Tamandua tetradactyla: one gene and its partner. The protein of the gene in region 1 interacts with the protein of each later gene in a biochemical or structural test. Links are inferred from orthologs where the notes say so. Each region holds a gene or a part of one and is shown on either strand. Other genes may lie near its edges. The genes, in order: WASL and PFN1.

Evidence for each region.
Region 2: the proteins of WASL (region 1) and PFN1 form a complex in vitro, tested with the Homo sapiens proteins (2 studies listed by BioGRID). The link is inferred for Tamandua tetradactyla from reciprocal best matches to the Homo sapiens genes WASL and PFN1.

What each region holds. Positions count from the first base shown.
Region 1 is NC_135327.1:164,608,189-164,622,910, reverse strand, and holds the start of WASL (actin nucleation-promoting factor WASL), read left to right. Parts: upstream 1-6,869; 5' UTR 6,870-7,241; coding exon 7,242-7,355; exon of another isoform or gene 7,356-8,408; intron 8,409-14,722. UniProt on the Homo sapiens protein: Regulates actin polymerization by stimulating the actin-nucleating activity of the Arp2/3 complex. Involved in various processes, such as mitosis and cytokinesis, via its role in the regulation of actin polymerization.
Region 2 is NC_135332.1:60,456,371-60,471,803, forward strand, and holds PFN1 (profilin-1), read left to right. Parts: upstream 1-8,554; 5' UTR 8,555-8,725; coding exon 8,726-8,857; intron 8,858-10,284; coding exon 10,285-10,477; intron 10,478-11,118; coding exon 11,119-11,216; 3' UTR 11,217-11,482; downstream 11,483-15,433. Other genes in the region: ENO3 (beta-enolase), read right to left, coding at 1,101-1,170, 1,253-1,311, 1,468-1,576, 1,988-2,189, 2,389-2,586, 2,675-2,897, 3,784-3,917, 4,300-4,369 and 3 more. UniProt on the Homo sapiens protein: Binds to actin and affects the structure of the cytoskeleton. At high concentrations, profilin prevents the polymerization of actin, whereas it enhances it at low concentrations. By binding to PIP2, it inhibits the formation of IP3 and DG.

The DNA of each region.
Region 1 (14,722 bases):
GGTTATGGCAATAGACATAATTGAGTGCCTTGTTTCAACCTATTTATCTAATGATTACAAAACTGTTAACGTGGAATGGATCTGAGAGCAAAAGAACTCCCCCAGGAAGCTCAGACTGAGGTAGCAGTGGTTGCTTATTGTCCTTTATGATATAAAAAATACAATAATGCTTGGAGAGCCTGAGGAAGATTGGGATTTTGTTTTGACCTGCATTAAAACAGGAAATAGTGACAGAGGACACATTCTCCCTATGTGTATCAGAACATTATAATGTAATACATATAAATATGGCTGAGTAATTTGATCTAACATTCTTGAAAATCTTTTATGTAGGAGATCCTTGAGCTTTAGTTCCATTTAGTGGTAATAGCTATCATTTACTGAGCAACTATTAAGTTATAGGCTTTGTAGTGGCTGTTGTTACATACATTATTTCAATTTTACTCTCTACATAACCCCCGGAGATACGTATTATCTCCATTTTACAGAAATCAAGGTTCAGTGAACTTGAGTAATTGGACCATTGCAGAGTGGACTGCAATATCTGCAGTCTTTATGTTATATTATGCCGCCTTTCAACAAAATTTTTAAACATTTTTAATCAATAGCTGGTTGCTGCATAATAGCCCAAATATTACTCATGATTCGTCACACCTTTTATTTTCCATTTTTAGGCATAGATCAATGAGGAGGTGGAACTACATAATGGCTCAGGTCCCCTTGGCTCTAAGGCACTGATTCTAAATTAAGTTATTGAATTGAATGACTCCCAAACCAGGAATAATTTTTCCTTATCCTAACATGAACATTGATTCTGACTAAATCATTTGACTCATTTGACTCAATGATTTTCTTCATCTGAAAAAAAAAGAAAAAAAGGTTAATAGTATTAATTCCAGCCATGGGGAATTAGAATCATGCTGATCTAACGATTATCAATTATTAAACACCACAAAACAAGGGAATAAACCATGACAGGTAATATAGGATTCAAGAAACAAAGGATCCAACACAGAAAAGAGGTACACAGTAATCCCAGGATAGAAGCAAAAGAAAATTCCAGACAGTAGTTATGCAGCCAAAAGGGCAATAGCCCAGATTAATACAGGATGATGAAGGCTCTGTGAGTGCATCTAATAGATTTCCACATACATGTGGAAAATAGTATGGAGAAGGGTTTTATAGAAGGAATGGAGGGCAGTATGATGGTGGCTCAGTGGCAGAATTCTCGCTTGCCATGCCGGAGACCTGGGTTCTATTCCCAGTGCTTACCCATGCAAAAAAAAATTGATAAAAATATTGAGGGTAAAAATCAACAAAAATACACTAGTACAAGAATGTCAACAGAAGCATTGTGCATTACTTGACTCATTAGGAATAATACACAGTATTCTGTGTGATAATAATTTAAACACAAATTGTATTGTAACTGTTGGGGAAAGAGAAACAGGGGAGTGGTAGTTTAAGAAAGACAAATCCTCACCATTTAAATTAAGAAATTAATAGATAATGCTTTAAATTGATAAGTCAATAAATAGCAGCTTAGCATATTATTTAGAAATATCTATGTTCAAACAGTTCAAAGTAGACGTCTCTGGGGAGAGCAGATGAGAGTACAGAAGAAGCAAGTCTGGAGCTTCTGGTTTTTGTTGTTAATGTTGTTGTTCGTGTTACCAGCTTTGTGATACTATTTGATTTCTTAAATCAGGTATAGGTATCATTTTAATAAAAAGAAAAATTTGATTTAAAATTTTTTATGATAAAGGAGGCCATACCTTCACTATAATACTTTCAGCAAGTCAATGGAGAAATGTGGCATCTTAAAATCACCTCAAGTATATAAACTGCCTACTCATCTATAATGTAAATTGACCTTGAGCATATAATAGTAAAGAAACCACTTTTTTTCTTCTCTCATCTGGTATAAACAGAGAGGCAATAACTACTCATTAAAGAGTGACAGCTAGAATACCAGTAAGCAGCATCCTGGGAACCACAGGATACTCAGCTTCAAATTGTTTTTTTTTAATAAAGATAATGTTTTAGGCATATGGAGACTAGGCCATATAGTGATGGTAGCTAGCAGTGGTTGTGATGGTTCGAAGCTTTATGGACCCCAGAAACATGTTCTTAAAGCTAATCTATTCCTTGTGGGTGGGACCTTTACATCAGGTTATTTCAGTTGAGATACGCTCCAGGTGGGTCTTAATCCTCCTAATGGAATCCTTTATAAGAGGATGAAATTCAGAGGGAAAGACATAATGAGAGAGAAAACCAGAGAAACAGAGAGGCTAGCCACTGAAGAAAGAAGCTGAAAGCAACGAAGCTCAGAAGAGAAGGGAGAGACCAGCAGACATTGCTACCCGATAGAGGAACCCAGGATCACCAGTAGCTGGTCTTTAGGGAGAAAGCCGCACCTCTCAATGCCTTGATTTGGACATTTTCATGAACTCAGAACTGTAAGCTTGTTAACTAATAAATCCTCATTGTTAAAAGCCATCCCTTTCTGGTATATTGTATTTTGGCAGCTTTAGCAAACTAAAACACTGGTAATTCCCTAGCAGGATTAAGAATTCAATTTTCTACTGGCATAAATAATATATCAGAATAGGTTGCAAGTTACCTATTCCTAAAAATGTAAGATCCAAAGGGGATTGTACTCAAAATGAGTTTAAAAGGGAGAGGGAGAACATAATGGATAGTTGGATAGCTTATTTCCCAAGATTTTAGTTGAGAAAAAGAAAGTATTCAACATTTAACTTGGAAGAACATATATTAGGACAAATCCTCTTAAACACTGCTGTATGCAACATTTACATAAAAATGGGTAGATATTTTACATGAGCATTTTAAACCTATGACACCTGAAGTTTGCACGGGAGAAGTAACATTCATCAACACTACAGTGAACAGGTTTGCTGCTCTACTGTCTCTATAATCTAGTTCCACCATAGCTAAGCAGCACATCAGTACCAGCAATTATGGCTACAATGGCTGCTGAATGCCACAGATCCCTGTGTGAAGCCACCTCTACATTTCTCCACACTGAAGGCTGTCACTATATTTTAAATTAATAACATTAGCAAGGAGAACAGAGTTTCAGAGAACTTGTAACAGTACATAAACAATGACATTTTTAGAGAAAAAAAGGATAACAAGGGCCCAGGACAAGAGAAAATTGTAAGGTATGATAACAGCAGGAAATGAGTCTAAAATATGCCCTCATTTCCAGACATAAGCTACTCTAATGTTTTCTGTTAAAATGAAGGCTTTACCTTAAAAGATCATAGCAAGACAGAAAGAAGAAAATAAAAGTACTGGAATAGATTCTAGTTAGTCGAGGAAATGTCAAATGGAAGAAATTAAAACTTAAGAATTGCCTTATTCTTCTATTCACCGACATTTTAATAGTGCACATATATTTTATATGTATATAAAGAAAAAATCCCTGCAGTCTCTTTACAAACTTCTTAGCTTACAAACTTAAAGATTATTCAGTTAAAGGGAAATAAAATCATTCTTATTTCCTGAATCAAATCCAATCTTTCAAACTGGATAAAAAGGATCTGAGATAAGAAAATAACTTCACAAAGAAAACAGAGAAAGATGTCTTGTGCTCTGCCAAACAGAGGACATGCTATCAAGAATGAAGGAAAGGAAGGACTTGTTAAAACTTCTGAAACAAATACAGCCAGTACTGCTTGGTCTCAGGATGAATGAGGGAAAAAACAGAATTCTTTATGCATGGTAAAAGGGAGAAAAACATATGGCTGGCTCACATGCCCTAGAGAGTAAGGAAGTCATATTTCCAATGCAATGTTCATGCTTACATTTTTCACATTTTAAGAACAGGATCAAGTAGTGGGAATAAGTGCAGAGAAAGGCAAACTTACAAGAAGAGGGTTGAAAATAAGAATTGAAATTGCAATTTTATGGGTAAAGTACTGTATTTAAAACTTTGAGGAAAAATTAAAGGAGCGAATTGTATTTTCGTTTCCTGGGCTGCTCAAGCAAATACCATGAAATGGGGCGGGTAAAACAATGCGAATTTATTAGCTTACGGTTTTGAAGATAAAAGAAAGTCCAAATCAAGACATCATCAAGGTGATGCTTTTTTCCCTGAAGACTGTGGTGTTCTGAGCCGGTTGTTGGCAATTCTTGCTCTTTAGTTTGTCATATGGCAATGCACATGGCAGCCTCTCTATTCTCTTTTGAGTGTCCTTGATTTCAGCTTCTTACTCCTGTGGCTTTCTCTCTGTCCAAGTTTCATCCCCCTTATAAAGGACTCTAGCAATAGGATTAAGACTCATTCTGATTGAGGTAGGCCACACTTAACTGAAAAAACCTCATCAAAAGGTTCTACTCACAATGGGTTCACAACGACAGGAATGGATTAAATTTAAGAAGACGTTTTTCTGAATACATACAGCTTCGGATCACCACAGTTTTGGGCTTGAGAAAAGTCTATAGTGGTAATTATTTTTAATTCTCATCACTAAAGAAAACAGAACTAGCATAAATAGTCTTAAAATTGTACTTAGAAGACATTTAAAATTTCCTGAAAGAAAAAAACGATTAAAATAATAGTTTAGGCTAACAAGAGGTTGTGAAATTATTGGAATCCAATAGTTCTCAGCATGGGATAGTTTCTTCATCTCATACCTACTGTCCATTCACCTATTCTCCTGTAGCTTCTATTTTTCACAACCATCTCCAACATCTCTCCTGCCTTCAAAATAATTTGGTCCTCTACAAGTCCTAAAAGCTGGTATTTCTAGCAAAAACATTTCTATCATTCAGTTTTTATCAGTTAGAAATTAATGTGATTCTGTCTCTAAATTTGGAGTTAAAAATTTTTTGTTATACTAGGATTTCATATATATATTTGCATAGTACATAGTCAAATAAAAAACTATGCTAATAAAGAATTTATGCCCCAAATTAACCACCAGATTTTTGGTGAAGTAGGTAGAACTCTAAATTTGAAGAACAGTTTTCAAAAATCTGGCTAACGTTGAACACAGACAACTCAACTCTCATCTCTTATCTAAGAGAAAGAAAAACAGAGCAGACAATAGCATGGGCAAGGACTGTCAATAAGGAGCAACTAATATTTGAGTAACCACTATGTATCAGGTACTTTATAGACGCCATCTTGGTAAATTTTATGGTTTTGAAGTAGGTGTAATTATCTCTACTATATTGCATCTTTATAAACTGGAAATTGAGGAAAGATAAGAAGTAACTTGTTTAAAGGTTCTAAGTGGCAAGGAATCTAAATAATTTAGAACTGATGCAAGTACTTTTGTTACTATTCTAGTTCACAGGTTTGAAAACAGTAGTACTCTAATTTCTATTATTTCTCAAGTATTTGTAATGCTTTCTACTGTCTGTCACTGTGCTTTGAACTTAAAGGAAAGGAGACAAACTGGTTTCCCTTCTAGGTTTATTTTTAAATCTTTAATTAAGAAGCAACTCCAGGTTCACATTCTACTACTGCTTCTCTAAAGCTAATTACTTTATAAGTAGTCCTCTTGCTTTTTGTAAAATTTATTTTTCCCCAGAACATTATCAAACAAGTTTAACTTTGAAATATCCATATTTTAGGTGAGGACTCGAAAACTGTATGCTTTCATTTTCCTTTGCAGACGTTTTCTTGTCTACCCAATTTCATTAAAGGCAGTTTTAATTTTCAAAGTGCATAGAAAATTGCTCATCAACATGTGTAGTGTAACAGAGATTTGTATTGGAATGTATTAGATTTTAGAAGCAAAAACTTTTACCAAATTTTAATTGTCACAGGATGGATGTTTGATTGGTCTGATATACGAATTTTTGTAAAAAAAAATTTAGTCAGTGAGCATGATGGTAAAGTTTCTGCAATAACGCTTATTTGTTTAATGTGAAGAAGTCAAATGAATACAGTTGGTATTCTTTATCGTCCTCAAAATTTCTTTTTACAAACTAGTTGTTGAGCATTTAATTCACTGACCAAACGGGGTTATCTTAGGTAACCTTCAATATTATGAGGCATACACCCTAAAAAAACAATTAGAGATTTACTTCTAAGGATTAAACCAGGTATCGTATTTTCCTGTGTCACATCCCAAAATGGATTCAGTTGTTTACTTTCTTAATATATTCATTTTGAATCAAAAGGTGTTTGAGAAAAATATTGAGGGGTTAAAAAAAAGTTCTCCAATTTATGTGATAGGGAAAAAAATGTATTCAGGGCCCTAAGAAAAACTTTATATTTAAGTGGTATGTATACATTTAACCCACAGGACACGACAGGCCGGCCATGGAAATCTTTCCTGAGTGCGTCTGTTGTTTTAACAGCCATCTCTGGATCTCTTTCACTATAGTGGGAGAGACCTGTTTGTTCCTTCATTCGCACCGTCGAAGTTTGGACAAAGTTTTAAAAACCCCAAGCACCTGAAGCTGTAACCCAAACCAACGAGGAGTACCAAGGAGGGTGTCTCTTCTCCCCAATGTTCCGTGTCCAGATTCCAGACCTTTTTGACAAGCAGTGTGAGCTTCCTGTTTCCGAGCTTCAGAAGAGCCTTAAGGGAAATGGAACCTGGGTCCTCACGGACGTCCACGTAAAGGTGTTCGCCAGCGTGAAGGAGGCCGGGCGACTCGGCCGCGGACACTAGCTTTCATTTTTTCTTTAGGTAGCAGACGCTAGGCCTCATCAAGCAAAGGACTGAAGCGGCGGGCAGCCGGAACCGACGCCAAGAACACAGCCCTTGGCCAGAACGCGCAGCCTCTCGACCGGAAGAAGGCGGGACCTTTGGCCGGCGCGGCGAAATCCGCTGCGGCTAAGGGGGGGTTCCACTCAACCGTGCGTTTCCGGTGCACCCCCGCCTTCTGCGCGCTGTGGTCTCGCCCATCCCCGCTGCCATGTTGGATTGTGCGGCTGCTACTGCCGCCGCCGCTGCCGCCGAGGGAGGGTTGGAGGAGGAGTTGAGAGTTTAGCGCAGGAGCAGGACTGAGAATACAAGGAGCCTCCGGCCTGAGCTTGGGCGGACAGGATCTAGGAGCTTCCCTTTCTCAGCGCGGCTTGGAGGCTGCTCGCCGACAGCTCCTCCTTCCCTTGGCCTCCTTCTCCCGGCGCCGGAGGAGCTGCGAGATGCTGCGCCTCTGATTCCCCTCCTCCCGTCTCTGTCACCGAGAAGGGGAACGAGCGGTCGCCCACTTGCTGGAGGAGACGGCCTTGGACCAGCCCCGCCGGCGAAACCATGAGCTCTGGCCAGCAGCCGCCGCCGCCGCGAAGGGTCACCAACGTGGGGTCCCTGTTGCTCACCCCGCAGGAGAACGAGTCCCTCTTCACCTTCCTCGGCAAGAAATGTGTGGTCAGTGGCTGAGACCTGCGTCGCCACCCCCGACTTTATCTCCTGGGCCCGGACTTGAGGGCCAAGAAGGGGAAAATGGGAGTGGGGAAGGAGGCGGGAGAGGCGCGGGGAGGATCCAGCTGCTGGCCGGGCCTCCCGCCGGCCCCGGTCTCGCTCCCTGGCGTGGGCTTTGGACGCCGGGGTGGCCGGACGCGGCTTCTCTAAGCTGTCGGGTCACAGGGCTGTATCACCTCCGCAGGCCTGCCCTGGAGTCCTACCGGGACGGGCCCCTATCCGCACCCTTGCTGCTGGTTCAAACTTTATTTTCAGGCCACAAGGGGATTTTGTTGCGCGAGCCTCATGACCCCTGATTACCAGCTCCTTCTCTGGCCTTCCCTCCACCTCCTCCTTGATCTGAGGGTGTCCTACTTCACAATGGCAGTGGTCTGAAGAGTGGACAGACAGGTCGGGAAATTAAGCCCATATATGAATGAAGCAGACCAGAAGATGGTTTTTTAATCTCCCTGTAGGCTCTCAGAAGGGAACGAATTCTAGGTTCCTGGGCTTTCTTCGGTTCAGAACGAAGGCAGGAAATGCTGCTGCTCCCAATTGCAGAGAAACAGGATTTATTTCCCCAGTAATCTCATGCAGGCTACTTTCTCCCTTCTTCCCTGCTGATTTTTTTTTTGTCTTGGTGGAAGAGAGTAATTTTCTTCCTCAGCCTTGCGCGGGGTAACAGCAGTCTCAGTAGTGGCTGGCCTTTGGGGCCTGAGAATGATTCTTAGGTTCCGGGTGTGCGGATGATTTCGACCCCAGATGGGTTCGGAGCAAGCAGTTCTACTGTGGGGAAGGGAATGTGTGTTGTTGACGGAAGCATTCATTACTTTGGCTGCTGGCAGTTCTTGGGGTGGGGAGGTTGTGCTCCGTGGTGTAGGCCTTGGAGTAGGCTGCATCTGAACAGTGGTGGCAAGGTTGAACTGTGATTAAGTTTGTTGAAACGCTGAATGGCGTTTCCCTTCCTTGCTTGTGAGTATCTGCAGAGTATGCAGATACTCTGCAGATACCGAAGGCACTTTCAACAAGGATATACAATTTTATAACCTTCCTTAGTAATGTTAAATATGTCAAACCAGATTACACCTGTTTGTTTAAGAAGTTAGTATCAGACAGTTTCTGAAACTTAACGGATTAATGGTTAACTTCACAGGGGACAACTCTTTGTATCCTGTGCCATGCAATTATAGATTGAATCATTACATTCAATTTCAGATGTTTTCACGTTTGAGAGGTTAATCTTAAAGAACATATTTTAAGTTTACCTATCAGAAGAATGAAACGAGGTAGACATGAACACGGATTTTTGGGATACAACTGTAAAGATAATCAAGTCCTTCCGTCCCCCACACTTTTTAAACAAATGAGAAAACTGATCCAGTGAGCTGTAAGTCACACAGCAATTTAGAAATGTAATAGAACTAAAAAACCAGGACTCCTGATTCTTCATCTGTTGTATTTTCCACTACATCATGTTGGTTTTAGAAGGTATGTTCTTAGTTGTTACTGATTTTTTTCTAAAAGTGGTGTTAAGGGAATAATCACTTCATTTTTTTTCCATCAAATATTAATGTGGTTCCCGGTGCCTGCCCATGCAAAAAAAATTAATGTGGTTAAAGTGTAAGGTTCATAGGAGCCCTAATAAAATCTCTAGGACTTTGAATCTTTACATACCCTGCAAATGAAAAAAATCATTTCAATTTTGCTGGTTTATTATTACTTTGTAATGTATATCAAAAAGGAAGTATTTGTACTATGTTTATATACAGACACATCAACTTTAAGCAGGAAGGCCAATACATTTATACACAAGTATACTGACTACTTGCTCTGTGCTTTCCAGTAGTGTTTACTGGTTTCAAAAAATGACATATGTGGAAGTATGCTGTGCAGATGTCATTGCTCACTGGTTAGTTTAAGTGGACTGTGGAATAAGCTGCTGAATTAAGATTGCGGAATGCTCAATTTATTTGTCATCTATTATTAACAAAGACACTTTACTTTTTGAATTTTTCTCATTTAAAACCACACTTACAGTTTCCTGCTTTTGTGGGATGAAATTGTTGCAAAGCTTATCGTTAATATTTGAAGTTCCCAGTTAATAGAGAGTAAAAAGGATATTTTAATTTTTTGGAATAATCTATTTTTTCTCTGTGGTTTATGCAGTATTTATTAGTTTAAAACAATATTAACCTATATCATCTCATTATATACAGCTTTAAGATTTACAGGTTAGGCCAAATTTGTTAGGCAAGAAGTAGAGCTCTAGATAGTTATTTAAGAAAAGAAACAGAAGTAGTTATAGTTCCAGCTTTTGAGGATCTTCATTCCTTCTTTCATTCATTCAACAAAAATGTATTCAAGTATTGTGTAACCAGATATTGAGGTCAAAATCAGAGTTGACGCCTGTCCTCAGGGAGCTTACTGTATCTAAAAAGAGATACACGTGTAAACTAGTGAGTAAGTCAGTTCTTTATAATGATGTGTCAGAGGCAGCTTGTTACAATGAAAAATGGTTTGGCTATGTAGACAGCAGACCTGGATTAAAACTCATTGGGTCACTTTGGGGAAGTTTCTTAACCTTCCTGTCCTGGATTAGATTTTCACATTTGTAAAGTAAGGATGCTATTTCATAGGGTGTCTGACTGTGTGGAAGAAGGACTAATGTTAAATAAATGGAAACTATTGTTTTTATAAAGGTTGAGGTAGTTTTGGTTTAGGGGATCAAAGGAGAGGGTGGTGGAAGAGAAGATGAGGAAGCGTGCTTTGGAGTGAGTGATACCTGAATCTTTACAATTAGTAGGCACTCCCTGGGTTGACAAGAGAGGTATATGATAGTTTAGAAGATTAGGGAACCTATTAATAACTTGTTATGGAATGTGGGGGGGGAGTTCTGCTTGAGTTTTCAAATTTAGGTGTGCATTGGAATTATTGTAAAAGTTAGTAGAAATACATAAGACTGGGCCTCATTCCTAAATAATAGTCAAATTCACTGGATCTGAAATGGAACTTGGGAATTAGTTTTTTATCAAGCTCAGCAGATGATTCTGTTGTATATTAAAATTTGAGAACTGCTGTGGAAGGCCACTGTTTCTTTTTTTAATTTTTTTTTTTTTTTTTACATGAGCAGGCATCAGGAATTGAACCCAGGTCCTCTGGCATGGCAGGCGAGCATTCTGCCTGCTGAGCCACGGTGACCTGCCCAAGCCACTCTTTCTTGAAAGGGTAATCCTGGCAACAGAGTGGAATCTTGGTCAGTATTTTGTGTGTTGAATTAAGTTAAAACAGTTTATTTTAGTGCAGCATTTCTCTGACCCCTTAAATTATCAATGCATATCTCATATCTGTAAGAGGGCAGTGCAATTGAAGAAGTACTGCACTGATTAGTGGGGGACCACATTATAAGACTGGTCTTTTAGAAAGTTGGAGGGAAAGGTGGAGGCAGTATAGAAGGTAGATTGAAGATTGTGAAATTGGAGACAAAAGAGATCAGATAGGTGCTTGCAGTAGTCCCCATGAGAAATGATGGGTTTGAAGTAAAGCATTACTGATAGGAATTTAAGGACAGTTAGAAGGACTAAATCTCATTTGGATTGAGGAATTGAGGTAAAGCAGCTCTTATAACCAACCACCAGCGGAAAGTTGAAAATATGCCTAGATGTTATTGGGACTCTGGATAGGTGCATGAATAAGACTTCATGAAAGAGATGAATCATCAGTAAATCTATTGTTTTGCCACAGTTTTTAAAAATAGATTTTGTGGAAGATGGGAGTTCATTTAAAGATACATGTAATATATAAATATATGTAATATGCATTTGCATAAATAGTTCTGATGCAGTTCATTACCTGCCATATTTTCTTATAAAAGCGAAGAACAATTAAGGAAGGTTAGAAACAAGATTACCTGGTCTTGTTTTGTAGTGAGTTCTGTTGTGTCTCTCATAAAGTGTGATTTAACTTACTTTCTACAAGGTGTAACTTGACAAATGGGATTTAATGTATATAGCCCTGAGTAAGTGAGGAATTACGGAGTGGGAAAATTTTAAACTAGCCCATCTACAGCTATTTCTGATCCAAGTGGATTGAGGTTAATCCAAACAGATTAATGTTGTTGACCATTAGCTTTTCCTGTCATACTCAACCTGGTTTGTTTCAAGATTTAGTGATATATAAGGAGCTCGTTTATATTAACCATCTTTAATCTTTACTGCCTTTAATTCCTCAGCACTTGTTTCAACTTGCGTGTATTCTTTAGTTTTGTTTATTTTCTCACCCTATATATAACTGGAATTTAATCTTCTTTAACCTTACACCTAAGTAGTTTTCTGTAATTTTTATAAAATCTAACATACAAATCACTGAGTACTTTTGCTTGAATAATTATAACTGTTAACTTGTTTGTTCCTTAAGCACTCATTTAGAACTACTCATTGCTTGATCAGTTTGTCAAACCTTCTTTTTTTATATAGATGGTCTCTGAACCATAGTTTTCATTTATTAGAACAAACTGGCTTAATGCTGCTGCTGAACTAATACAGACAGAAGTGGTAGCAATAACAATTTTGTTCCTGTTCTAAATCAGATCCTTTGGGCGGTGATTCTTAAAATGATTTTGGAGTGAGATCCATAGTGGGATCACTATTGTATTATAAAAAGTTGTGAAAATGTATTTCACATTGAGTAGTGTGGAGGGAAAAAAGGTTAAAATTCACCGGATTTGAAATACACAAATATGAGAAGGCAACCTGTCTTTAAGGAGCCTATAGTCTAGGATAGATGAAAAAGGTTAAGTGCAGAAAAGTGTCATATAGGGTCAACTAAGCACAGGAGAAGATTTACAAGAGTACAGTGGGTCTGGGTATACATCCTTTGTCTGGTTATTCTTAGCTTAAAGCTAAAGGCAAGGGCGGGCCATGGTGGCTCAGCAGGCAGGGTTCTCGCCTGCCATGCTGGAGAACTGGGTTCGATCCCTGGTGTCTGCCCATGCCAAAAAAACAAACAAACGAAGACTAAAGGCAAGCTTCTTAATCGATCTTAGTCTTAGATTTGTAAAGTGGGCTTAGTGAGGATTCAAAGAATAATGCAGTAATATATATAAGGTACATAGAGTGTCTGACCCTTATAAATTGTTCTGGGAATTTGGAGAAGCATATGAAAAGAATGCTATTAATATTATTAAGTTTTTAGATTTCCTATTATTAGAGGAAAGGTTTTCGAGTAAAATTTTGAATTCTAAACTGTATTTGTTTTGATTTAGGTAAATTAATTCTAACAATTTTATTTAAAGTGCAGTTAATTATAGAGTGTGTGAGTTGAGTTACAGAGCAACTTGGACAAGTCTTTGCGCAGCCTTGCCTTCCCTGATTGCTGACTGAAAAAGAGAGGACTACTGGTGTAGAGTTAGAAGTTCTTGGGTTTTAGTCCAGACTCTGGCATCAATTAATTGTGAACATGAATAGGAATCTCTGCCTTCCTGAACCTCAGTTTCCTAATCTGAAAATCAGGGAGTTGTACAGTATAACTCCATAGTCTTTCTGGCTTTATGTTTTATTCTAATTATGCTACTTGTAAGGAATTCTATAGCAGGGAAAAGGACAGCCCTCTTGTTAACCCTGTGTTTTGTATGCTGGAGACAGTATATAGCTGAGTGGAAAATGGATAATCCCAAATCACTCCATTTTAGATCCCCATTTTTAACATTTCATTTAAAAAAGACCAGGATGAACAGAATTAGTAGAATAATCAACTCTTAATTAATTGAAAATTAATGAGCATACCAAAAAAGGGCATTTTTGGCTTATTAGATACAGAGTACCTTTTAATTAAGATGGAATTATTTTTAAGAGTCTCTCTTTTATTAACCAATTCAACTTAGAAATTTATAACCTTATTTATAGGAAATTGTATTAGTGATATTATAGTTACGTGTTGAGTTTTATTGCTTATTTTACAGGGTAAATTTATTGTGCATTTTTTAGCTTAAGTGTTAGACTCAATAATTTTCATGAACCGACTTGGTCATTTTAGAGACCGATTCAGAGTTGAGGTTACTGATTGTATATGTAGAATGGAATGATATCTTAATGTTTTGTTTGTTAATTTTTTTTAATTAATAAAAAAATTAAAAAATAAATAAATAAAATAAAAGTTGAGGTTACTATAGGGGTCCATCTATGTGATCAAAATAATTCCAGACTGTTATGTTAGTGAACAGTATGCCAAGAACCAGAACTTCTGACAGAAATTTCTGAAATTCAGTTGAATTCCAAATTAGGCATTTCTACTTCCCTTTAAGATGTGAAGGACCAAGTTTTATATTTTACTATTTTTCCTGCTTATGCAATCTCTGTTCTTGCTGTTATTAGCGAGGTTGTATTACTAGAAAACACAGTGAAGGGAAGACTTGACTGGCCCTCTGAACTGCCTCCTGAGTTCTGGAAGTCACTCTTTGGCCATTTAGCTCTTCCTGTTGTGGACAGTGTTAGGGATTTTATTAAAAGTACACAATTTTTAAAAATTTATTTTTTACTCAGAGTGAAAATAGTATCTGTGAATAATGTCTTATTGTTGAATCCAGAGATTAAAAGAAGTCTCTTGTCTAGAAAATATGTTGAACTAGGGCATCCAAGATTCCCCACTTTGTGTGGAATAGGAGAGTGCTTAAGTGTTGACTGAAGTACAGAAGAGCTGGGTTCTACGTGTAGTGCTCCTAAGCAACTCCTGCATGTACATCATCAGTATTCCCAGTCTGTATGAAAACCAGGAAGAGGGAAATTTTCCAAATTTTTATACAGGTTTGTCTTAGTCTCATTTGTTTCACATCTGTCTATATTGTGTAGATTTGTCATAAATGATTTTAATGGGTCTATGCAATGGTAACTTTTTCTAGTTTGAATAGGAAAAACAAATTTTAAAACAGCAGATAAACGTTGAGCATCGTTATAAAATATTCTGTCTAGGATATTTTATTCCAAAGATAAGAAGCCACAGTTATTAATAAAGTTCATTTTTTTACTGTAAATATTTTGGAAGCAAAACAGGTTTGCATTCCTGTTCACAATAATAGAATATATATTATCCATAAATACAATTTCTATCGGTGTATGACTGAACACTCTGGTACTTTTAAATATTAAGTATTATTTCTTAATTACATGTTTGGTATTTTTAAGTGTTTTCAAAAATGTAGTAGAACAAGATATTAACGTCTGTATCTGTATTCTCAGAAATAGTAGAGTGTTACACCATTGGAATATCAATAAATTAATTAGAAAACATTAATGCAATGTAGAGGAGTTTTACATTTAAGACCAAATAATTGAATTGTAGAG
Region 2 (15,433 bases), on another chromosome or scaffold:
GGAAGCAGGTTCTTGATTTGTCACTGTTGGAGCTTGGATATGTATGTGATGTGTATGTGCATGTATGAAAGAGAGTGTGAATGTACAAGCGGGTATTTAATCTGTATTCTTCCCTATTCTTCTTGGCATTTTCTTCCCCATAGGCCTGGGGTTACTTCACATTCAATAAACACTGTTTGACCCGATGCATTGATTGGTTTGTGCAGAGAAAGTTGGGTCCTATAAGCACTGGCAGAGAGGAAGGGGAATCATTTTAGGTCAAACAATATGAAATTGCTGTGTAGGTACAGATGACCAAATATTGGCACTGCAAAGGGAAGTATAAGATAAAAAATTTTAAGAGCACAAATACTGGAGCCCAGAGGCCTGGTTTTGAATCCTGGCTTGACCACTTACTATTTCTTTTACCCCAGGGGAGGTGAATTATTTAACCCTTTTGTGTCTCGGCTTCTTCACCCTTAAATGGGGATAATAAAAGTGGATAATAAAAGCGCCTATATGATAGATCTGCTTAAAGATTACACTGTTTACATGGGCCATAAACATCAAGCAGATAGAACAGTTCCATGTCCTCCTAGGCTCCGCCACAAAAGGTGGTGGTTGTTCTCATTAGTCCTTTCCTCCTCATACAGCTCACTCAAGCTGTGATCTTTACTCCTCTACCCTGCATTCAATGGACATTTACTTCAACTGATAGGAAGACCTGATCTAGACTTGCCTACCTCCTGAGGGGGTCCTCATCTCTGCTCTGCCTCTCCTGGAGCTGGCTTCTTGTTCTGTCAGTACCTCTTCAGCTTCATTACACATATGGCACCTGCTTCTGCCGACCTCTCGTTATGTGAACCTCTCTGTTCTAGATCAAGCACAGCTTCCTCTCTGAGTCCCTCACTTCCTCCTTGTTCTAGTAGGTTACATGTCTGTTCTCTACCTGCCCTTCCTGCCCCCACCTCTCTACCTCCTGTCTTATCCAGCCTATAGACCAGAATCTCTTCCTCCCACAGAGGAGGACACCACTGTCTTGATTGGCACAAGTGTTTATTTCAGGGGGAAGAGCTTGAAGGCCCGGGTCTGTCCAGTGGGGGTCTGGGACCTCCGGCTTCTTATTTGGCCTTTGGGTTACGGAACTTGCGTCCAGCAAAGACAGCTTTGTCCCCGAGAGCCTCTTCAATCCTAGAAGGCAAATTCAGGGCTGCTGGCTCCTAACCCAACAGCCTCAGCTCCCCAGTTCCCAGGCCCACCGCACCCACAGTACCTCATGAGCTGGTTGTATTTGGCCAGACGTTCTGAGCGGCAGGGGGCACCAGTCTTAATCTGAGGAGTAGAGAGGAATTCAGAGGATTGGGTGAAGTTGGAGAGGGTTGGGCTGGGCCCAAGGGAGCAGCCTGTAGTGACATTTAACTCAGAGGTGGGAGGCCAGGGTCCCCAGAAAACCTGGTCAGACATTCAGCAGAGGAGAGCTATAAGTACCTGCCCTGTGCAGAGCCCCACCACGAGATCAGCGATGAATGTGTCCTCAGTCTCCCCAGAGCGGTGGCTCACCATCACCCCCCAGCCATTAGACTGAGCCAGTTTGCAGCTGGAGAGAAAGGGAACTTGATAAGCCTGATGGGACTTCCTCTGTGGGAAGCCAGAGGCTGGGGGCCCCCTTTCCCTTCTAATCTCTTCTGGGTACTGCTGCCCCACAGGGAAGTGGTCACTTTGCAGGGAGGGCAGTGACTATAGTTCTTTGGGAAGTAGGAGGGAAGGGGGAAATTCCTGTCTTGAATCTGAGCTCCTGAGATTCTGGTGGTAAGAATGGCAGAATCTGAGAGGAATGGCACTGAGGATGGGGAAGGGGAACATGGCAGGGTCACAATGGCAAAGTTCCCAGGTCAGACAAAGGGTGTAGTCAAAACCCTGTGGTCTGGAGGGTATGGATAGTCAGGTCGTGGAGGAAAGGTAGGAACAGAGAGAGGCTTTGATGGGCCCCGGGCCAGGAGGGACTCACGCCTGGATGGATTCAGTCACTGAGCCAATCTGGTTGACCTTCAACAACAGACAGTTGCAGGCCTTTTTCTCAACGGCCTGGGCAATTCTCTTGGGGTTGGTGACTGTGAGGTCATCCCCCACGATCTGAATGCCAACCCCCGCAAGGAATGAGGTCCAGGTAGCCCAGTCATCCTGGTCAAAGGGGTCTTCAATGGAGACCACTGTGGGAGTTGAATGCAGAGTCAGGGGTTAGAGGTCAGAAGGGGCCTCGTGGAGGAGTGATGGGGCAGAGTTTGGACATGCACTGTGATGGGGCTAAGGGTTGCAAGGAACTGAGTAGGTGGTAATGGAGACCACTGAAATCACTGTGTTAGTTGCCAGAGACTCTAGAAGGTACAGTGGAATGCATGGGAGTCTCACCAGGATAGTTCTTGATGAAACTCTTGTACAGCTCCCCCAGCTTATCTCCAGTGATGTGGCGTGCGGGGTCATCAGGAGATTTGAAGTCAAGATCATACTTCCCGTTGCGATAGAACTCAGAAGCTGCTACATCCATACCAATCACCACCTTGTCAGGGTAACCAGCTGCCTGGATGGCCGTCTTCAGCAGCTCTAGGGCTGGGGGAGGAAAAAGACAGGCCTCAGGCTCTAACCCTTCTCTGTGGGGGACCTATAGGTTCTGCCCCACAGAGTGTTCAGCACTGACCCTCATTGTTCTCCAGGATGTTGGGTGCAAAGCCGCCCTCATCGCCCACATTGGTGGCATCCTTCCCATATTTGGCCTTGATGACTCCTTTGAGGTGATGGTAGACCTCCGCACCAATGCGCATGGCTTCCTTGAAGGAGCTGGCGCCCACAGGCAGAATCATGAACTCCTGCATGGCCAGCTTGTTTCCAGCATGGGAGCCCCCATTGATCACATTGAAAGCCTAGGAAGGGGAGAGGGGGCTCAGACTTGGGCTGGAGGACCCCAGATGAGAGGGATCAAGAAGGAATGGGGTCTAGGTGGAATCCTGGCTTCTTTACTTACTAGGAGTCATTTTACTCATCAGAGGGTATGTCTCCATTTCTCTAAAATGGGGATAATACCTACTTCCCACAGGGACTTTTGCTGAAAATTAAGAAAAATTGGCCATAAAGCACTTTGCAGGTGCTTGGTATATGATAATAATGAAGACAACAGTAATAGCCAGCACTTACATGCCATGGCTATGTGCAGGTACTTTACATATGTTGTATTAGCTCACTTCACTCTCAAAACCCTGTTAACTAGGTACTATCATTCCCCAGTTTACAGATAAGGAAACTGAAGCATGGAAACGTTAAATAACTTGCCCAGGATAACAGAGCTAGTAAACAGACAGAGCCAGGATATGAACCTAGCAGTTAGTCTCCAGAATGGGTGGCTTTATACAACTGTTACTGCCTAACAAGTAACAATAAATGGTAACATTATTAAGATTAAATTCAAAAGGCTTCTATAAAGAGATGGAATTTGGTTTATTAGGGACCTAAGATATAAAGAAAGGCCAAGATCCTTGCCATGAAGCAGCTCTCAGTCTGATGTGGGGGGTGAGGCGCAGGGCTGGAGGTTGGAGCTCTTGAGCCTAGGGTTGGAATGTGAAGGAACTGGGTTAAGTTGCAAGGGAAGGAAGCATAGGGAGTCTTAAGGGTAGGTTTGGGCGGGGGAGGGGGAGCTGGACCACAGTATAAGAGGTTCGATTTCAGGAAACAGCTTCTCTGGAGCTGGGTCTGGAGGGCGGATTTTCCAGGGGCTGGCCCTGTGGGATCTGGCAGAGGTACAGCTGCACTTACTGGCACTGGGAGTACCAGGTCTGGGTTTCCGGCAAGATCTGCAATGTGTCGGTAGAGTGGGACCCCCTTCTCCGCTGCTCCTGCTTTACACACAGCCAAGGACACACCCAGGATGGCATTGGCTCCGAACTTGGCTGGAAAGGGCAAGAGGAGGTATGAGAGCTTCTCCCTCGGAGTTTGGGGTCATTTCTTAAACACCCTTTTTGGTGACTCTAGAATAATCCTGGCCCCAAATCACCGGCATTAAGTGCCTGTTAACAGATCTCTCCCATCGGCCTGAGGAGCTCTGGGAGACCCCACCCAGGGGAATGTAATATGCGGGCTTCAGGTCTGTGTCCACAGCCTGGGCCAGGCCTGGCAGAAGGCAGGCATCAGGAAATGCCTGTGGAGTGAATACAATAAATCCATCCAGCTATGGTGTGCCCCAAAATATGGGACACAAAACTAACCCTTACCAGGCCTCTGCCCCTGTGCTTTCTCTCCCATCCCTTCCCCCATCCCTAGCCCTTCACTCACACTTATTCTCGGTCCCATCCAGCTCAATCATAAATTTGTCAACTTTTTCTTGATCTACAACGCTTAGTTTCTGGAAGGGCAGATGTGAGGAGGAGAGAGTAGAAGTCAGATTTCTCTGGAGACAAAGCATGGAGGAGTGAAGAGTATTTGGGGGAGAGGGGGTAACTGGCACCTCTCAAGAACGGGCTGCCTTGGGTGAGCACAGCAGGAGTGTGGGGAGGAGGGTAGGGTGAGCAGGCTTCTGCACTTGCCTTTTCCAGCAGAGCAGGGCCTAGAGTCTTGTTGATATGTTCCACAGCCTTCAGGACCCCTGGAGAGGCCGGGAGAGGGGGTTCGTTCAGAATGGTTCTGCTCTCCCCAACAGTCTCAACGAGTAGGCCCCAGCTCAAGACCTTCAGGTTCCAGTCTTCTAACCCCTCTGTGCCCACCTGAAACCACCCACATGGGCTCCTCCTGCCCTGGCCTTTCCTTACCTTTCCCCAAGTAACGTGATTTGTCTCCATCTCTTAGTTCCAGGGCTTCATAGATACCTGTAGAAGCTCCGCTGGGCACAGCTGCTCGGAATCGGCCTGGGGTGCAAGGAATTGGAAAGTCACAGAGAGTCCCATCCAGGCACAAAGGACTGAGGTATTCCTCCTAAGCCCAGGGATAAGAGGATAGTGCAGAGAGAGACTTCTGCTTCTCCCAACTCAGGAGCCAGGTTGGAAGAGGAGTCAGAGAAAGGTCTGGGGAAGAGGACCCCAGAGGAAAGAAGGGATGTGGCACAGACCTAGGGGACAAAGGACAAATGGGTTTGGGGTCTTCTGAGGCAAACCAGTTAAACGGGCCTACATTACCCTTGGCCGTGTGCAGGTCCACCTCCACCGTGGGGTTGCCCCTGGAGTCCAGGATTTCCCGGGCAAAGATTTTCTGCATGGCCATGGCTGCAGAATAAGAGCTGAGTGTGGACAGCTGATCCCTTAAGGAACCAGAAATCCCTTGCCCTTTAAGAGTCTTCCCCACCCCAAGGAGGCAGGTGATGTAGCTAAAAATACCCCACAAAAGGTCACAGACCAAAGAGGCAGGCACAGCACCCCCTCCCCTCCACTCAGACTCTCTCCTATTCCAACCCTTCCATCCCAAGAATCCAGGGGCCTCTCCTTTATAACTCCTCATACTCCCATCCCCGAACTCCCATTTTCCCCAAACTGCCCGTATGCTTTCTCCTTCTAACTTCTGGTCAAACAATCTCCATGGCCTCTCCTTGCCCTCAAATCCTCTCTGGCTATTCTGGTTCTCATTTTTCTGCTCCCCAGTCGTCTCCAAATCCTCGGGGGAACCTTGATTCCTCATTTGACTTTAATTCTAACCACACTTCTGGATCCATCCCTGCCTGCCTCTCCTCACAGCCTCCCTTTCCCTGTATCCTTGGGTGCTCTCATTGTTTGCCCCATCCAATTTCTCCGGTCTGTATCAAGCAACCCCAGACCCAGGAGGAAAAAAAAGCTGAAATTCTGTCCATTTTCTCCAACTCAGCACCACCTTTACCCTTTACCATTTCCACCCCCTGGGGCTCACAGCTTCACCAGACCTGGGATGTCTTTGCTGGGGGTCACGGATGAGTTCCGAGTCTAGGTGGCAGCTGGGACAGTGTCAGCTCACCCCCTCTCAGGCTGGGCATTTATCCCCGAGCTGGTCGTCGGGCCAGCTCCGCCTCTCTCCATCCTCCCCCCTCCACACCTGGCTGGCAGCCAAGGACCCACTGCAGTCTGAAGCATGAAGTCTTTGGCCCTGGCCCCATCTCCCCCACCTTCCCACTTTCTCTCAGTTCTGAATAAAAAATCTCTCCTTTTAATTCTACTTCTTGGGAAGTTTAGGAGAGGGGCTTAAGGTCAGGGGTCTCTCTCTTTCCCAGGATTATATTCCCTTTTGCAAAGGTTAAAGAGGAACTAGTGCCCTTTAGGAAAGGCCAGGGGTAACCTGAGCCCTGCAGGGCTGGGGAGGGGGCCTGGAAGAGGGGCTGCAGGATTGACACCCACACATGCTCAGCTCACTTGGCAGGCGCCAGGCTGCCTCTGCCTTCAGTCGGGGGAGGGACAGTGGTTCTGGGCAAGCTCTGAGGTCTAACAGTGACTCCTCCCCCCACCTAGAAGGCGACCGGGTCTTACCCCTCAGGGTCTTCATACCGGTTACTCTCGGTTCTACCCTATCCTACCGTATCCCAGCGGCCAGGCGGGGGTGGGGGTGGGGTGCGGGTGGGGTCAGGGAAGAAAGCGGGGAGACGAATTTAGACGGGCTCTCAGAGCTGGCGCCACGCCCTGCGATAGAGCTGGCTCAGAACTTCTCTCTCTGCTTGGAGCCTGTCGGTCTGAAACCCCTTTCCTAACCGACTGCTTCGGGACGCGCGGCCCCAGTCCATCAATTGGATAGTTCTGAATCAAAAGTAAAACAAAACACAACAAACTGAATGAACCAGAGGAGGGGGGTGGCCCTTTGTGAGCGTCTGAACGCCGAAGGCCAGGCGGGTGGTCAGCCTGTAACTTTACTGAAAAGTGGGTGTCGGCACTTGGGAACTCTTCGCCTTGGAGGGTCTGGGGAGTGTGGGGTCTATGCCGAGTTCCGTCCGCAGCCCGGCCGGGAGAGGGAGGGCCGGCGGCGGTCACCGAGCACCTCGACTCCTCTTCCCGGGTTCGGAGGTTCTCCCGGCCGGAGGCGGGGCGGCCAGCGCCGGGTGACTCACTCCGGCAGCCCTCTCCCTAGCTTCTTCCCAAGCCCCCCACTCCCACCGCCCCATCAATGATCCTTCCCCCGCCCCTCCCCCTCATCTCCCGCAGCTCCCAAAGGGGAATTTTTCCACCCTGGAGCCGGGTGTGGGCAGGTCAGAGGTCAGGAGATGGCTGGCGGGCAGCGCCGCCACGTGCCCGCGTGCAGCCCCGCCCGAGCCGGCCGGTGACTCAGCCACCGCGGCTGTCGAGGAATACAGGCTCGGGGGCGATGGGGGTCTTTGGGGTTTGGGGTGGGACTCAGAAGAAGCTGCGTCCAACTCCGGAGAACGAGATGGAAACAGAGCCCCTTCCCGCCCAGGAGGCGCAGCAGGAGCCGGGCGTCCCTCCCCGGAGGGACCGGAAGCGGCCAAGCCCCATCGGCGGCGAGGTGGGTCGAATGGGGCCAGCTCGCCAAAACGGGCAACCAGGACCAGGCCCCCCGCCCGCTCTCCAGTTGGCGACGGGCCAAGTAATCGCGGACGAGTTCTTAGCATAAGTTTTATTGAAGAAATAAAAATAGAAGAAAAAGCCCAAACGGGCCTTAAGTAGAAGAAACAATCTCCTTCTTGAAAAAGTTGCTAATCTCCGGCATCTTTGTATTCTTCCGCCTTGAAAAGTAGTCCCGCCTATTTCGCCCTGCACTTAATGACCTCTAGCCGCGACGGGCCAAGGAGCATGACCGGTCACCCAAACTGTTGGCCGGGGAAGAGGGAGGACTGGGAAATGGGGTGAGGTGCTTGACTGGAGCTGATCCAGCGAAGAGATAATGCCCTGAAGGGGGCGGGTTCCAGGGAGCAGAACCTGTGCCACACGGGCAGATGCAGGAAACAGAAGTGGCCCCACTGGGTGACTTCAGCCCTGAGAGCGGCGGGAGCATTTTGTCTAACTCCCCTTCGCTCCCTTATTTCTTGAATAAATAAAATCAAGGGTGTCAAGGCGGCAACGCGCGCGCCCGCGCCCTCGCTCCCGCCCCCTCCACCAGGCGGACTCTAGTTTCCAGCCCGCCTTCCTTCGCCAGAAAGTCCCTAATGTGTCCGGCCAGCGCGTCCCAGCGCGCGCCCGCCAATCCTGCCGCCGGTCCCAACTGCTCCACGCGCCTTCCCTCCCCGCCCCGGCGCAGGCGCGAGCGCACGCGCCGCCGTTCGCCGTCTCTTCCCTCGGGCGGAGGTGGGGGAAGGGGTAGACTTTCCATTTAACCCAGGTTTCCCCAACCCTCTTTAGTTTGCAGCCTGCTCTTTCTTCCGCCTTTCTCTTCCTTACTTTCATCACTCCCTTGCCCCTATACCGAAGTCTGGTTTATATTCAATGCGAAGTGGAGTCCAAACCCTAACCTCTGCCCCGCCCCCGACTCCCAATCCTTTTACAGTGCTTTCTATCGAACTCTGCAAATTTTGCAATAGGGGGAGGGATTTTTTAAATTGCATTTGCAAAGTTCGGTCTCTGGACAGAGGGGGGAGGGAGGGGATGGGGAGCAGGCCCCGCCCCTGCCGCCCTTTGCAAATAAAAATCTAGGGGTGGGGGGAGGAGCAGGAAGTGGCGGTACGAGGGCTGCTGCACAGCCAGAAGAGCCGCGGTCCGGACGGCAGCGCGTGCCCCAAGCTCTCCGCCTTCCCTCGCCCGCCAGCCCGAGTCCAGTCCGCGGTTTCAGCAGCAGCACCGAGCGCAACCCCAACAGCAGCACCATGGCCGGGTGGAACGCCTACATCGACAACCTCATGGCGGACGGGACCTGTCAGGACGCTGCCATCGTGGGCTATAAGGACTCGCCCTCCGTTTGGGCCGCCGTCCCCGGGAAAACCTTCGTCAACATCACGGTACTGCGAGGCCTGCGCGGTGTGGGGAACTGACCGGGCTTGGACTCTGAGGGAGGGACTTGGAGGAGGCAGGCGCGGTCTGGGGAGGGCAGCTAAAGGCGGTGACCGGGTCTTTGCCCTGAAAGCCATGCGAGTGGTGACTGCATGTGAGCGGATCCCTCCGTCCGGCCTAAGTCCTATGCCCCAGGCGACGGCACCTAGCCCGCCCGCCCGGCTCTCGGCGACGGGGCGTTACATCCGGGGCACTGGGCGGGGAGGGGCGCGCCGCCCGGTGCGGCGGCCCACTTCCGCCTCTAGGGCGGGGCGGGTACGCGCTGCACTTTAACCAAGGATTCTGATTGAGAAGGGTCTTCAGGGCCCGTGCTCCACTTGCCGCTGCTAGCACGAGCCCCACTCCACCATTGTTCCCCCTGTGCAGGAATGAGCTCCAGGCGCATGGCCTGGGTCCCATACTCGCCCTCCTAGGAGCCCTGCCCCTCCCTACTCCGTTAACGAGGGCGAGGCTGCCTCACGCCCCCCTAATTCGGCACGTTGGTGCCGACATTTCCCGTGAGGCCAATCCCGGAAGACCTCTCGCCCTCCCCACCACCCTCGGGGTCTTGGAACGGGGGAACTTGGTGAGAAAGTTCTGCGATAGTGTAACTGAAGGAGTACGAGTTGGCTACTACTGTCCCCATCACCTCCCCTGTCCTCAGTGCCCGGAAGTGGGGAGGGGGAGCGGAAGTTCGAAAGGGGGGGAAGGGGATTTCCGGGCGGGAGGGAACCGGATGTAGGGGTTTGGGGTGTAAGGGGGAGGGGAGAGAGGTTCCCTGGGGTATCTAGAAGCAAGAACTGGCTTGTTGGGTTTAGCTCCGGGCGCTCTTCAAAAGTTTCCTAACTTTGCCAGGGAGCCCCCAGGGGTCTGCTTCCTCATCTCGGGGCATAGATGCCTAGGCCTAAACTCTAGATTACTTGGAGACCCAGGCGTCCGGGCCCCTAATAACTCCTGTAGAACCTTTGACCAAATAAGGGCAAAGTTACTTCTCCTGTCTTGCCCGCCCCCTCCCTTCCCCTCTCCGCTTCTGCTTTTCCTGAGGGAGATTTCTGTGCATCCAAAGGGTCCCCACTCCATTCCACTTCATTCTTGTCACTGACTTTTGGCCCCTTTTGCTTTCTGGGTTTGCTTTCTCTATTAAACGTCAAATTCTAAGTCTTCAGAGAAATATATCACTCCTTTCTCCATTCTCGAGTTTGGGGGATAGTAATCTTTTGTGCACTAACTTCCCGCAGTCCTAAGAGTTTCTCATATTTTATGGATGTGTACAAGGCACATTTATCCCTGGGGCGTTTAGCTCCCTGAGAAGTAGAAGGCGGATGGGTCCTTGAAGAGCAGGGTGGGGACCTTGGTACACTGCCTCCCTTAAATGAGTCCTCGATTCCGCTTCCAGCCAGCTGAGGTTGGTGTCCTGGTTGGCAAAGACCGGTCAAGTTTTTTCGTGAATGGGCTGACACTTGGGGGCCAGAAGTGTTCCGTGATCCGGGACTCACTGCTGCAGGACGGAGAATTCACCATGGATCTTCGTACCAAGAGCACGGGTGGAGCTCCTACCTTCAACCTCACTGTCACCATGACCGCCAAGAGTAAGTTTTCTTATCCCTCCTATCTGCAAGATCCCTAATGTACCTCCTCCCATTACTTTCTCTTTTGAGTTCTTTTTTGTGTGTGGTTTGTCACTGCAAAAGTAGTCAGACCATGTTCAACTCCCATTTCTGCTCCCATAGGCTGGGACATTGGATAGTCCCTCCAGTTTTGTCTCAGTTCCTCATCTTGTAATACAAAGAACTTGAAGTGCATTAATTTTTAAGTTCCTTTCTGCCTCGAACCTTTTCTAATTAGAAACTCAGATTTCTTGGGGTAGATTGCTGGGGTCGTAAAGCAGTGTTTAGCTCTCAAATTCTGAGCCCTAATGCTAAAACTTGGAGGTATCAAGCTCCTCATCCATAGCCATTTTCAGTCTGAATATGAGTTAACGGCCCAGGGGCCTTTGACCTGTAAATTTTAGTCTGCTTTTCTCCAGCCTCTAAGCTTTGATTTTCCCCTTTTGAAAAGCCCTATTGTTTCAGGGTGACTGACAGCCTGCCTGCGCCTCTGTGTCTGTGTTGGGGGGAGGTTGGGAGGGATGAGGTTGGGTTACAGCCCCCAGGGCTGGACAGCTGCTGAACAGCTGGCGGGGGGGTAGAATTGACACCTGGGGTCCTAGCCTCCTTTCTTTTTCCTCCAGCGCTAGTCCTGCTGATGGGCAAAGAAGGTGTCCACGGTGGTATGATCAACAAGAAATGTTATGAAATGGCCTCCCACCTGCGGCGTTCCCAGTACTGACCTCGTCCATCCCTTCCCCCCACCTTTCCCCACTGCTTTTGCACCCCTCTCCTTCCCATGCACACACACGTACATCATTTTTATTTTGGGGGTCAATACCCCATATCCCTTATTGCTGCCAAAACCACATGGGGCGGGGGCGGGGGCTGGATGTACAGATACCTCCTCCTACCCATACCCCTCCTGTGTGTGGTTGGAAAAGTTTTGTTTTTTGGGTTTTTTGTTTTGATTTTTTTTTTTTTCTGAATAAAAAAAGATTCTAACAAGGTGCTGTGTGGTTTGAGCCTGGGTGTCAGGTGGGGCACTGTGACTTGCTACCTTTATAGCCTTCTTTGGTGACTGGGAGGAATGAGGATGGGGACATCAAAGTCCAGAAGCTGCTTGCTTCCAGACTAGGCTTTCCTGGCCAGGGAGCTGGCCCCTCCAGAATTGCAGTTCCAGCCCTAAGTTCTAGGAGTGTTGAACTGATGTGGTAATGGAATAGAATCATCCTGACCAGAGAAAATGGGTCCAGGCCTGAGGGTAAGGCAGGGCCAACTGAGTCATCTCCATGTGTGGGTGGGGTAGGGCACCCCCCCACCTCTGACTCACAGTAACATTAGCCTGCTGGGACTGTCCCCATGACTACAAGTTAGTCTCCCAGCACCCCTCTGCCAATTATTAAAAATAAATTACTTATGGCAAAGAAAAAAGGGTAATTTCCCTCAAAAGAAGTTTACTTGTGTGAGACTATCTTGCCTTAATTCAGAAAAAAAATTTATTAACCCAAGAAGTGAAGACCCAGGCCCTTTACCTCCTCCAACCCCCTCAGTGATGAGGTTGGGGGAGAAAATGAGCTGGAATATCCCCTACTCCCAACACAGAACACTGGAGGGAAAAGTGAGGGGCTGTGCAAATAGGTCAGCAGAGGTCAGGGAAAGGGAGGTACTAAACCAAGATGGCAGCTGAGGGGGAAGGGGAGGGTGGGGGGTCTGTTGAGGGCCCAGGAAAAACAAGGGGAGCCGGAGCTAGGGAACCAAAGGAGGAGGGAACAGTCGGGCTGGAGCCCAGGAGTGGGGTCCTTTCTGAGGCAGGGTGGTCCCTTGGCTCCTCATCACCCTCTGGCCCCTGAGCTGCTTCCTCCTGTTCTTCATCCCCAGGCCCCCGATGAACAGGCTGCTTGCAGATGGGGCAGGTCTTCCGCGTCTGAGTAAGCCAGGGGTCCACACAGCGGCTGTGGTAGGCTACGGAGAGAATGAGGTGAAGCACCAGCTTGCTGCTGGTGGACACACTGGCACAGGTGGTGAGGGCCTCACCGTGAGCACAGGGAAGTACCCTCAGCTTGTCCCCATCCTCATACTCATCCAGCAGATGCACAGACATCATACTGGTCTCCTGAGGAGAAGAGAGGGTCATGCCCTTCATTGAGCCATCCTGAACCAGGAACCACAAGAACTCTGGGACGCCTGTAATGGAGCTAAGCCCTGCAAAAATGATTTTCCCTTGTTCCACAGAGCCTGTGGAAAAGATGGGGCAGTGTAACACCAGGGCAGAACAAAACATGGGGAAGAATGGGGTTAGAGGCTACAAGCAAAAAGCAGCAGAGGTAAAGGAAGTGGCTTTTTTGGGGGGGGGGGGTGGAAGAGGGTGGAGAGATAGGGAGTAGGAGAGCAGAAAGAGGGCAGGCTTCTGCTATAACCTTGTATGGGCACTGGAGGCTCCAAAGCCTGAAGACCCAGCCCCCTCCTTACCTGTTTCTTCCTTTTCTGACTGAATCCTCCCCATTTCTTCCCCCTACTCTTCACCTCCCTCATAAGCAAGGTCTGCCTCTCCATCTTATCCCCTAACTATTTCACGTCGTCATCTTTGCTTTCCATCTACTGTTCAGCTCTGCTCTCTATCTCCTCCCTCATTCTCATTGTGTCTGTGGGTAAAAAGAGAAGAAAAGATGGCATCTTGGGACTCACTGGCAGTCAGTCTCTACCATCTTTCTTTACCCTTATGTCCTAAACTCAGACTCCCTCAGAACCAAGTAAACTGTGGGAAACGTTCTCTTACCCCCTTCCCCACCTCACCCTTCTGATAGTCATGTGTAGGGATCTGTTTCAGCTGCTCTTTTGTCAGTCGATTCCGCTGGAGCCGTTTCCGGTGCTGGATACAACGAACTATCTGGAGGAAGGATGGATCAGGCTTAAGATATGAAACCAGACAACCTTGTACAAACCATCCCCACCTTCCAATGCCTGCTGGGGCTGTTCCCATGATTACAGGGCCAGATCCAGTCTGGCCTTAGAGACCCCAGCACTTCCCCTCAGACTCCCTGAACTACTCACCATTACTGCTCCCATGGCCAAAACCAGCAATCCCACAATCCCTGTGAAAGGGATCAGGTAATAGCCCAAGGGGAAGCCATTGTCTGGGACCAGCAGCACATGAGCCCTGAGGAAAAGAAGACTAGTATTTGGAGGAACAGGAAAGCCACAGAGGGATAAGGAAGAGGGATAAAGTGAATTGGTCCAGGACAAGGCCCAGGGATAGGGAAGGGGTGAGAAGAAAGTCAAGAAGCAGGGTAGGGAAATCCTGAGGCTGAATGGTTGGGGCAGCAAGATATGGGCTCAAAGTGGGTATGGAAGTTCTAAAGGATGTACACATCCTACCCCTTCTCGTAGATGAAGAGGGCACGCAAATACTCAGAGCTCCTCTCCCCAATAAACACAGACGGGATCCAGATCTGCTGCTGGATTTCCTCTGCAGGGATCAGGACGTTATGCTGGAGACTCAACCTTCCACTTCTCAAAGCCCTTAGGAACCCTGGTATTTGGCCTTTTTGCCCCATCCACCCTAAGGATCAGCTTCTCTCCCCTAGGCCTTCAGTTTCCACCCCTCAGCCTGAGCTGTACAGAAAATTCAGACCTCCCAGCCTTACCACTATTCCACACCATGTTCAGAAGTTCATTAGAATTCACATTGTGTACCACAGCTGCAGCATACCCAGCCTTCTGAGCATTTAGGACCTAAGGAGACAAGGGGATGAAGAGCCATCATGAGCCTGGTCTCCCATCATTCCTGTCGTCTTTTTAACTCTCAGCTTCCCAGGTCCCACCCCCCACAGGTTCCACCCCCCCACTCCAGCAACCTTGAGGTCAAAATTGCAGTCGAATCTTCGAAGCAGTGCAATAAAAACTGACCCGTTGACCGGTGCTGGGGGTGGTGGGGCAATGGGACTGCAGGCATTGGCTGGATGAGCCTCCACAAGGAACCCCTGGGGAGAGAAGTAAATAGCAGTTGGATTTTCTTCTTCCTGGGTTCTGCTCTCCAGGACACATTGGTCCCCACACGCTACACATCCTCTATCTCACTTTCTTTGTCATTCCTAGGTTCTGGGCATCCTACCTGAGTTAGAGATCTACATCTTCTCTTATCCTCCTGAGGATGCAATTATATCAAACAACATCTCTTTTACCAGACCCTCCCATCGTCCCTCTTGCCATCCTAGATGAAGTAATCTGTACACCATATTCCAGGCTAATTCGATCGACTGCCCATTTCCCAGTAATTGTAATTCAATTCTCTACCATCCATGTCACTTTCTCTCAAGTTCTGTTTCACATTCCCTTCTCTCATACACACACCTACAGAACACACTCCCTTGCACCCTTCAATCTCACCACCAATGCATTTCACAAACAACTATCACTAATATCGATGGCCCAACTGAGTTTTTGCTATGGGCACTCTTTGCGAAGTACTAAAAATTGCCTATCTAATTTAATCCTCACAACAACGCAGACATAGCTTCTATTATTAAGCCATTTTACAATAAAACAAAGGCTCAGAGAGGTAATTAACTTGTTCAAGGTCAAACAACCAATAACATGGCTCCAGAGACTCTACTGATAAACATCGCATGCCCCTGCCTTTTATCTTAGTCCCCTTTCAGTCTTCTTCACAAGGCTGGACGTTCTAAGGGAGGTACTCTGTAATCCAGTACACTAGGTACACTAGCTGTGTTCCTGTATTTCATTCCTGACGACTCTTTTCCTACCTCCAGCTTCATCCAGAGTAAAGGTCCTCAACCCCTGCCTAGGATCACGGATTTAGGAAAATAAGAAAAAGGGAAGAAAATCACCTGCAGTCCCTCCTGGCTAAGGGTAGCTCCAAAGAGAGCGGGGAGGTCTGCAAAATCCATGCTGGCATTGTGGTCCGAGGTCTGGGGAAAAAAAGAGTACATTTCCCCT